Saccharomyces cerevisiae S288C: one gene and its partners. Changing the gene in region 1 together with any one later gene gives a genetic interaction. Each region holds a gene or a part of one and is shown in the gene's direction. Other genes may lie near its edges.

What was found.
Region 2: mutations in ROG3 (region 1) and BIT61 together harm fitness more than expected from each alone (negative genetic interaction), as found in Saccharomyces cerevisiae (2 studies listed by BioGRID).
Region 3: of ROG3 (region 1) and STE2, changing one enhances a phenotype caused by changing the other (phenotypic enhancement), as found in Saccharomyces cerevisiae (one study listed by BioGRID).

What each region holds. Positions count from the first base shown.
Region 1 is NC_001138.5:194,955-198,712, forward strand, and holds the start of ROG3 (Rog3p), read left to right. Parts: upstream 1-1,878; coding exon 1,879-3,758. Other genes in the region: phosphoinositide binding protein ATG18, read left to right, coding at 1-1,360. UniProt on the Saccharomyces cerevisiae protein: Involved in resistance to GST substrate o-dinitrobenzene (o-DNB).
Region 2 is NC_001142.9:326,007-329,764, reverse strand, and holds BIT61 (Bit61p), read left to right. Parts: upstream 1-1,891; coding exon 1,892-3,523; downstream 3,524-3,758. Other genes in the region: protein kinase IKS1, read left to right, coding at 1-1,647; amino acid transporter YHC3, read right to left, coding at 3,575-3,758. UniProt on the Saccharomyces cerevisiae protein: Component of TORC2, which regulates cell cycle-dependent polarization of the actin-cytoskeleton and cell wall integrity.
Region 3 is NC_001138.5:80,490-84,247, forward strand, and holds STE2 (alpha-factor pheromone receptor STE2), read left to right. Parts: upstream 1-2,090; coding exon 2,091-3,386; downstream 3,387-3,758. Other genes in the region: GTPase-activating protein GYP8, read right to left, coding at 1-1,423; BST1 (Bst1p), read right to left, coding at 3,656-3,758. UniProt on the Saccharomyces cerevisiae protein: Fungal class D1 G-protein-coupled receptor that acts as an alpha-factor pheromone receptor performing pheromone-dependent signal transduction involved in cellular conjugation, mating projection assembly, and in cell fusion.

The sequences.
Region 1 (3,758 bases):
TATCGTCGAGATGTTGTTCTCCACCTCGTTACTAGCCCTCGTTGGGATAGGCGATCAACCTGCGCTTTCACCAAGGAGATTGCGTATAATCAACACAAAAAAACATTCTATTATCTGTGAGGTGACTTTCCCTACTTCTATTCTGAGTGTGAAAATGAATAAGTCTCGATTGGTGGTACTTTTACAAGAGCAGATTTATATTTATGATATCAACACCATGAGACTATTGCATACTATAGAAACAAACCCTAACCCACGTGGCCTTATGGCTATGTCTCCTTCGGTAGCCAACAGCTATTTAGTGTATCCATCACCACCAAAAGTTATTAACTCCGAAATTAAAGCTCATGCCACCACAAACAATATCACATTGTCAGTTGGTGGCAACACAGAGACCAGTTTCAAGAGAGATCAGCAAGATGCTGGCCATAGTGACATTAGCGACTTGGATCAGTATTCGAGCTTTACTAAGAGGGATGATGCGGATCCAACAAGCAGTAACGGCGGTAACAGCAGTATAATAAAGAATGGTGATGTGATCGTATTCAACTTGGAAACATTACAGCCAACCATGGTCATCGAAGCTCATAAGGGCGAGATTGCTGCAATGGCAATTAGTTTTGATGGGACACTAATGGCTACCGCCTCTGATAAAGGTACTATCATCAGGGTCTTTGACATTGAAACGGGTGATAAGATCTACCAATTCAGGAGAGGGACGTACGCGACAAGAATTTACTCCATATCATTCAGTGAAGATAGCCAGTACTTGGCGGTTACCGGCTCTTCCAAAACCGTGCATATCTTCAAATTGGGGCATTCAATGAGCAACAATAAACTAGACAGCGATGATAGCAACATGGAAGAAGCTGCAGCCGATGATTCATCGCTCGATACCACCAGTATCGATGCGCTGAGTGACGAGGAAAACCCGACAAGACTCGCAAGAGAACCATATGTGGATGCATCAAGAAAGACAATGGGTAGGATGATACGTTACTCTTCTCAAAAGCTATCCCGAAGAGCTGCCAGAACATTGGGTCAGATTTTCCCCATCAAAGTTACATCGTTGTTGGAATCCTCGCGCCATTTTGCGTCTTTGAAACTTCCCGTTGAAACCAATTCCCATGTAATGACCATATCAAGTATAGGCTCTCCAATAGATATAGACACATCCGAGTATCCGGAACTCTTCGAAACTGGCAATTCCGCAAGTACAGAGTCCTACCATGAGCCTGTTATGAAGATGGTCCCCATCAGGGTCGTTTCCTCGGATGGATACCTATACAACTTTGTTATGGACCCGGAGAGAGGCGGCGATTGCTTAATATTGTCACAGTATTCCATCTTGATGGATTGATCACGGAAGTGTCTCGCGCTGCCTTCCGTACGTCACAACGCATACACAATATAGTTTATATAAACTCCTGCGTATAATCTATCCTTTTGCATAATATTTTCGTCACCATTATCTTGTTGCGGTGTTTTTATTTAAAACAATAGAACTCGCCTAAAGGGGAAATTTTCGATATAAAAATTCAAAAAAATGGCTTTCATGGATCGAGTATTTGTTTGTCGAAAAAGGATCACTGGAGTGACGTTACTACGCTACGAAGCCTCCTTCCGGCTTAGCCCTGTTGATTACGAATTTGGATCAGTTGGTATTTGATTCCTCGGAAGAGTTAACTTCACGCGGGTAAATCACTTGTGATGCGGTATATTCTCTATACGGCTAATAGATGAATCAGGGTGTTTTAAAGTGCGTATAAACCCTTTTGCTATTTTCGTTTATATAATTGGCGTTGATAAAGAGCCAATATCTATTGTTGCTACATAGAGGCAGCTCTCTTAGCAAAATAAAAATACAAAAAGTTCGACATGGGCTTCAGTAGCGGTAAATCAACTAAGAAAAAGCCTCTGCTTTTCGATATCAGACTTAAAAATGTTGACAACGATGTAATACTCCTCAAAGGTCCTCCAAACGAGGCCCCCTCGGTGCTTTTATCTGGTTGCATCGTTTTATCGATTAACGAACCCATGCAGATCAAAAGCATATCATTGAGACTTTATGGGAAGATACAAATAGACGTACCATTAGAGAGGCCCCAGGACGCTAGTTCTTCGTCGTTGTCTTCATCGCCGCCAAAGATCAGAAAGTACAACAAAGTTTTTTATAATTACGCATGGGATAATGTTAACCTCAAGGAGTATCTGAGTGGTTTAAGAGGGCAATCTGGCCTTGCGGGCAGTAGCTCATCAAGTAATATCTTGGGCACTCGCCAAAGAGCTCAGTCCACAAGTTCCTTGAAGTCTTTAAAGGGGTCCTCCTCACCCTCTTCATGTACTTTAGATAAGGGCAACTACGATTTTCCCTTTAGTGCTATTTTGCCTGGTTCGTTACCAGAGAGCGTAGAATCTTTGCCAAATTGCTTCGTGACATATAGCATGGAATCCGTTATTGAACGCAGCAAAAATTATAGTGATTTGATCTGTAGGAAAAATATTAGAGTTCTGAGAACCATTTCACCCGCAGCAGTGGAGTTATCAGAAACTGTTTGTGTAGATAACTCATGGCCCGACAAAGTGGATTATTCTATTTCAGTACCCAACAAAGCCGTAGCTATTGGTTCAGCCACCCCTATAAATATTTCCATTGTACCTCTTTCGAAAGGTTTGAAATTGGGCTCAATCAAAGTCGTATTATTTGAGAATTATCAATATTGTGACCCCTTCCCTCCAGTAATTTCTGAAAATAGGCAAGTGACAGAACTAAATCTTGAAGATCCCTTGAACGAGTCATCTGGAGAATTTAATGGTAATGGTTGCTTTGTAAATAACCCCTTTTTTCAGCCTGATCATTCATTCCAAGACAAGTGGGAGATTGATACCATCCTGCAAATCCCGAACAGCTTATCAAACTGTGTGCAAGATTGTGATGTCCGCTCTAACATTAAGGTTCGCCATAAGCTCAAATTTTTCATCATCCTAATTAACCCAGATGGTCATAAATCTGAGTTAAGAGCGTCCTTACCGATTCAACTTTTTATTTCACCATTTGTGGCACTTTCAATAAAACCATTGTCATCCTCGAATTTGTATTCGCTTTTTAGCACCACTAACCAGAAAGACGAAAACTCATCACAAGAAGAGGAAGAGGAATATCTGTTTTCTAGATCAGCATCAGTCACAGGGTTGGAATTATTAGCGGATATGCGTAGCGGTGGCTCTGTTCCTACCATTTCAGACTTGATGACGCCCCCAAATTATGAAATGCACGTATATGATCGTCTTTATAGCGGTTCTTTCACTCGCACGGCTGTGGAAACGTCTGGAACATGTACTCCTTTGGGAAGCGAATGTTCGACTGTCGAGGATCAGCAACAGGATTTAGAAGATTTACGTATACGGTTGACAAAAATTAGAAATCAACGTGACAATCTAGGGCTACCACCGTCTGCCTCGTCTGCTGCCGCTTCCAGATCGCTATCTCCATTACTAAACGTTCCAGCACCAGAGGATGGCACGGAGAGAATCTTACCTCAGAGTGCTCTTGGTCCCAATAGTGGCTCTGTGCCAGGAGTACATAGTAACGTATCACCTGTTTTACTTTCAAGATCCCCAGCCCCAAGCGTGTCAGCCCATGAAGTGTTACCAGTGCCCTCGGGCTTAAATTATCCAGAGACTCAAAACCTGAACAAGGTTCCATCGTATGGCAAGGCAATGAAATATGATATCATTGGTGAGGACCTTCCTCCTTC
Region 2 (3,758 bases), on another chromosome or scaffold:
GCCAATTCAAGCTTTTCAAGAAGATATTTTCAGTCATTGGAAAGAAATCATCGGCACTACGCCCTACAAAACGATAGTAACAATAAGCAGGGACAGTTCAGCAAAAACAAATACTTTATTCCAGATGATTTGTTTATCCCCGGATACTTTCGTAAATTTTTCAAAATATTGTCTTTGCTGGGAAATGGTGCAAGAGGTTCTGTTTACAAAGTTGTACACACAATTGGTAATACTGAATTAGGTGTTTTTGCACTAAAAAAAATACCTATTGGAAATGATATGGAATGGTTTAATAAGTGCATACGGGAAGTGAAAGCGTTGAGTTCGCTAACTCACAAAAGTGCCAATTTGATTACGTATAATCATGTGTGGCTCGAAATGGATTCTTCGGTTGGATTTGTCAGATCCATTGATGGGAGCCAATCGGATTCACAAGAAGAAGTTCCTTGTATTTTCATTTTACAACAGTATTGCAGTGGCGGCAATTTAGAAGACTGTATTCTAAGAAAAGTGTTCAATAGGTTCTCAGATACCGAATCACCTGAAGAGAGGAAAAAAAAATTTAGAACTCGCAAGAAAAATCACGGTAAATCAGGAGAAGTTGGCCTATCTACGGAACAGCTCGTATCCATTATAAGGGATATTGCAAGAGGTTTACACGAACTGCACAGTATTGGCCTAATACATAGGGACTTGAAACCATCCAACTGTTTATTATTGACTCCATTTAAAAGTGACAATGAGAATGACAACGTATACGACAGGGAACACAATTCAGATGAGTTTTTCCCATCAATTGTTATTGGCGATTTGGGGGAAAGTCAGTTGGAAGGAGAGTCCAGATTGGGTACTGGTTGCACAGGAACATTAGAGTTTACAGCACCAGACCTTATTATCCAGGGGAGACCAGTTTCTTCTTCTACGTTGCCTTCAAGATCGAGTCACACATACAATGAATACACCTTTGCTTCCGATATGTATTCTCTAGGAATGATTTGCTATTTTATTGTCTTCGGTGAATTGCCCTTTGAACCACAGTTGGATATAGTTGATTTGAAGGTACGCATCAAAAATTTTAGGTTCGACACTGAAGGTATGATTGAAAAGCATCAAGCGATGAAATTGAAACCAATAGACCGTAGAATATTTCACCTAATGGACGCTCTTTTACAACCAAATAATGATGCTAGACCCACAGCGAAGACAGTGGAGGAGACGTTAGATGAAATGCTAATAAATTCCAAACCCGGCAAAAAATTCTGGAAAGAAAATGTGGATAGCACTTTGAACTTCAGTACAATCTCGGAAGTGAATGAGAATACCAACAGTTTTACTGATGATTATATTGACGGAGACAACGTTACTTTATCATTACCAGCACCAGAGGAAAATTTGAGCACCGTATCAACCCAAAACCTCCAAAAGTATTCTGCTTTAAATAGAACAATCCAGGTTTGTTACAAACTAGTTTCTATGATATTAACGATAATCATATTTAAGTGTACCAAAACGGGGTCGTGGCTCTCTTATATGTCACTGATATTGTTGGGAATGGTTTTTAAATCACCAGCTGATGAAAGAGGTAAGCATGCAAGAGCGTTGGTTTTACTGGCCTTCATCGCCGCATGCAAAAAATACATATACTAACAATAAGTACACATTGCAAACTAAATAGCACGTAATTTATTTTTACTTTACAAATTTATAGAAAATATTCTCGCTTATCACCAATGTTCACGAATCATCTTCACCTCTTCTAAGGGCCGGTGACAAAGGTGCATAATGTTAGAAAAATTGACCGATGAGTAAATTTATAGAGGGAATAACCAAATGAAAAGATCTAGGTGACAGAAACGCCAATTGACCTCTGTAGAAATAAAGTTCTTTCATTATGACAGCAGAAGATATACTCCTTCGAGAAAGAACATCTACTACGACACAACGCCCTGTCAATAGCGAACAATACCTTAATGTGCAATTAGCCACAGCCCCAGTAAAAAATTTTCAGACTACAAGCGAGATTAGCCGGCAAACTCTTGTAGACACATCAAATGATGACGTTTATTCCATCAAGAATTTGAAGGGCTCGAGGAACCCCATTAGCCCTAGTGTTTCTAACGTTGGCTTCCAATCCATATTCCATACAGTAGATCATCCTCGATCGAAGGTCAGTGTGGCCTCAAATCATTCCTTGAGGAGCAATGACAATGCCTCAGCTGCAACATCTAAATCTGGTTCTTCTCAGATAGGGGAATCTCATAGCGTTGACACGGTGGAGTGCTCGAACAATCTATCTAAAAAGTTATCTTCTGATGCAATATCCATTACTCAGAAAAGTTTACACTCCACGCCCTCCGGCAGGTATATGAAAGGAAAGGCTTCTGGCTTTTTTAATAGGAGAAACAGAGCACATACGACCATTTCATCGGATCCTGCCTCCTTTTTGACAGATTCAAGCACCTTACATAATAGTTCACATTCATTTCGAAACGTGATTAAGAACTTTTTCCAAAATAAAAGCCACAGGCACATTGGTCAAGATGCTATCGAGCCTGCAATTCCAAATTCCTTGAGTAAATTTCTGCATTCCTCTTACGGAAGACATAAATCTCCGTCACAATTTATTCATACTAATGCGGGGCAACTTGTGGACTCAGGAACTTCTGTGTACTCATTGAATGTTAATCCATCTGGTGTCAATCCCAACACAATCGTTGAGGATCCGCTTTCTGGAACTGATCCTGCCTCACCGAATCCGGTCTCAATGTTACACGACCTTTTAAGAAATTTACCATCTCTGGAAGCTAACTATAAACACTTCAACTCCCAAGAACTGACAACCCTAACAAATAATATTTGGAATATATTTTGTAGTAACGTAGCAGAATTATTCAGAACTCAAAGAATATGGAAACTCAGGGCCAAAATAGAAAATTTTAACGAAGTTTTAGAATTCTATTGCATTTTAAAAACAGATCCAAGAGTCACACATAGCGGCATGAATAGAATTATCAGCGATTTGAAAGAATTTTTGGTTAGTTCCCTATACAATTTAGAAAACCAAATTGTTTTTAACTATTCTAATGAAGACACAATAAATAACGCATTGAAAAGATTAGGCGTTATATGGCGGATATTTTATCAAGAGGTATATTATGATTTAGCCGCTGTGTTATTACCGTTGGATCAGAGTATCAGAGAAGATGGTAATTCTACGGTTTTAAAGTCAGGCAATGAAAGTCGGACTCACATTAATGGTAATTATTCTATTGGGTTTCTTTTGCTTATGTGCTTTAGAGATTCAATAGTCTTACCTTGTTATGAAAACTTCGTAAATAGTAACGATGGTATCAGCAAAAGTTTTCAACTTTACATTTTCAATCAAGAAGAAGAAAGTAATGTCACAGAAACAGATAAATTGACATTACTGCAGTGTTTTGGCATATTGAGTACCATTCAAAGTAATGATAGAAATCAACGAATTATCGAAGAGTTATTAGCAGGCATTAGAATGAGTATATAGAAAGCATCTAACACTTTATTTCAATCTCCTATTTAATATCACAACAAAACTTTATTCCATCCTACACCAAGGTCTGTCATCGGCAATTTGATGCCTACAAAGTTTGGGTTCTAGCCCCAAACCAAGTAACGCAGCCAAAAAAACGCCAAAGGAATCAGCGATGGACACAGCACCCATGGCGAACTCTGTTTCATCAGGATCCTCTTGTTCGAGAATATTTAAGAATGTGTTAACA
Region 3 (3,758 bases), 110 kb from region 1:
AATTTATATTTATATGTGATAAGTCTTTCAACTTTGTGGAGATCATGTAACGTAGATTGAGTACTAAACTCAACGACCTTGTAGTCCGTAATTGGTACAGGATAGCTACAATCCCGATAAGTAAAGAAATTTTGCTCCACCTGTTATATTTGGAGGGTAAAAAATGGCCAAGTCTTTGGACCAACGCCCTTGTCTTGGATCTGGCGGCGACACCATGATACTTTTCTTCCTTGTAATGCTCGTTCATCTTTGTTTGTTCGCTCAAATAGAAGATAATGGTGCTCATATCGAAGCATCCTGGCTTTCCACATGCTGTATTGAGTAATGCACTATATTTATTAAGACTCACCCGTTTCAAAGCCTTCTTGCTGGCAGTAGTCGCATCTTTTCTAGTTATTTGCAAGACTTCTTCCCAAAGCGCCTCATCATACAGTTTTTTCTGTAAAACTGTTTGTATAGCACCATGGCGCAGGTCAAAATCGTTCTCGAAGAAATCAGAATTAGCTTCTATTTGCTTCGAAATTTCAGACGCATTTTGCAATAGCAGGTTCTTGTATATGATCAAAGGTAAACGCATAGATTGCATCGATATTGTCATGTCAAATATCTGGAAAAGAATTTTATGAAGATTGTTGTCACCGCTATCTATAGGTTTCAAATTATGTGCAAAGATTGTCAATATTGACCCAATAGCGAAAAGGGGCTCATTTTCGTCAAATTTGAATAGATTATAGAATTTCATGTTTGATTCCTTTATCAATGAAGAGATTACTCTCAATTGCTCAAATGAAAAATCTAGTGAGTTCATCATGAAATCCCTCAGATATAATAGGGTAAATGCTTCGATGCAATAAAACAGCCTTTCCATATCAATTTCTTCTTGCAATGAGAGATTTTCTAGTTCCAGTCCGTTCTCTTTTGTGACATTCCAACTAAAACACATGATGAAAACAGACACAATATCATGATAACCTTGGTAATAGTTCAACGTTGGGTACTTTCTCAATACCCGAGTAATTAACTCCACCAGTAGTTTTCTCAATTGCAGTTTCAAGTTTTTGTCGACAATTCCACCAAAAGACCTTTCTGCATCCAATATCACCTGACCTTCATCTTTATGTTTTTCCACTGGTGTAATGTACTCTGTTGCATCATCAATAAGCAACTGGGACGCCAATAATTCATACCAACAATCTTTTCTTAATGAGTTGTTTACAAACCCCAGAGGCCCTAAACCTATGTACCTCAAAGCTCGGACATCTTTTTTCTCTAATAACTTTGATATAACTTTTCCTTTTTGTTCTTCTGCCTTTCCACTGTCACAACGAGAAAGTGATTCCAGATATGCGTTATAACCTCCCCTTGTCAACGCGTCTTTGTCGTGGCTACTCTGATTAGTATGAAATAATGACCTTAATGGCATCGTATTTTGTTAATTGGCTTGTTCTATGTCATTTGCTAAATTTTCTCTTTATTTCTTTACTTTGCCAATTCAAGATAATCTTCCCTTCCCAGAGAGAAAAAAGGAAAAATTTAGCTATGAAACCTCAATAAGCTTTTTAATACACCAAAGATTCAAGATAAGAGCATAGAACGAACTGTAGAATAGTCCGGATATGTTATCCAATGCCTGCCAAAATGCATTGTCACACGCTGTAGTGCTCGAATAGGTGTTGCAATCCGTCAATATACGTCTTGCTCTGTGGGTAAATGTCTCGTGCATTAAGACAGGCTAGTATAAACGAGAAGAAGTATCCTGCTTTGCAATGAAACAATAGTATCCGCTAAGAATTTAAGCAGGCCAACGTCCATACTGCTTAGGACCTGTGCCTGGCAAGTCGCAGATTGAAGTTTTTTCAACCATGTAAATTTCCTAATTGGGTAAGTACATGATGAAACACATATGAAGAAAAAAGCTTTCCTACATATTCAAGATTTTTTTCTGTGGGTGGAATACTATTTAAGGAGTGCTATTAGTATCTTATTTGACTTCAAAGCAATACGATACCTTTTCTTTTCACCTGCTCTGGCTATAATTATAATTGGTTACTTAAAAATGCACCGTTAAGAACCATATCCAAGAATCAAAAATGTCTGATGCGGCTCCTTCATTGAGCAATCTATTTTATGATCCAACGTATAATCCTGGTCAAAGCACCATTAACTACACTTCCATATATGGGAATGGATCTACCATCACTTTCGATGAGTTGCAAGGTTTAGTTAACAGTACTGTTACTCAGGCCATTATGTTTGGTGTCAGATGTGGTGCAGCTGCTTTGACTTTGATTGTCATGTGGATGACATCGAGAAGCAGAAAAACGCCGATTTTCATTATCAACCAAGTTTCATTGTTTTTAATCATTTTGCATTCTGCACTCTATTTTAAATATTTACTGTCTAATTACTCTTCAGTGACTTACGCTCTCACCGGATTTCCTCAGTTCATCAGTAGAGGTGACGTTCATGTTTATGGTGCTACAAATATAATTCAAGTCCTTCTTGTGGCTTCTATTGAGACTTCACTGGTGTTTCAGATAAAAGTTATTTTCACAGGCGACAACTTCAAAAGGATAGGTTTGATGCTGACGTCGATATCTTTCACTTTAGGGATTGCTACAGTTACCATGTATTTTGTAAGCGCTGTTAAAGGTATGATTGTGACTTATAATGATGTTAGTGCCACCCAAGATAAATACTTCAATGCATCCACAATTTTACTTGCATCCTCAATAAACTTTATGTCATTTGTCCTGGTAGTTAAATTGATTTTAGCTATTAGATCAAGAAGATTCCTTGGTCTCAAGCAGTTCGATAGTTTCCATATTTTACTCATAATGTCATGTCAATCTTTGTTGGTTCCATCGATAATATTCATCCTCGCATACAGTTTGAAACCAAACCAGGGAACAGATGTCTTGACTACTGTTGCAACATTACTTGCTGTATTGTCTTTACCATTATCATCAATGTGGGCCACGGCTGCTAATAATGCATCCAAAACAAACACAATTACTTCAGACTTTACAACATCCACAGATAGGTTTTATCCAGGCACGCTGTCTAGCTTTCAAACTGATAGTATCAACAACGATGCTAAAAGCAGTCTCAGAAGTAGATTATATGACCTATATCCTAGAAGGAAGGAAACAACATCGGATAAACATTCGGAAAGAACTTTTGTTTCTGAGACTGCAGATGATATAGAGAAAAATCAGTTTTATCAGTTGCCCACACCTACGAGTTCAAAAAATACTAGGATAGGACCGTTTGCTGATGCAAGTTACAAAGAGGGAGAAGTTGAACCCGTCGACATGTACACTCCCGATACGGCAGCTGATGAGGAAGCCAGAAAGTTCTGGACTGAAGATAATAATAATTTATGATCAAAATTTACGGCTTTGAAAAAGTAATTTCGTGACCTTCGGTATAAGGTTACTACTAGATTCAGGTGCTCATCAGATGCACCACATTCTCTATAAAAAAAAATGGTATCTTTCTTATTTGATAATATTTAAACTCCTTTACATAATAAACATCTCGTAAGTAGTGGTAGAAACCACCTTTGCTTTTACGAGTTCAAGCTTTTTTCTTGCCATGATCTAGAACTCTCAGGCAATATATACAGTTAATCTTTTTTTACTGGGTTGTAGTTCTAATGTATTGTTTCGAAAAATAGCAACCAGGCACATATTATGTTCACCAAGTGGTGTATCCAGTACAGATTTCTTATTCCATAAATGAAACTGAAAACGGTT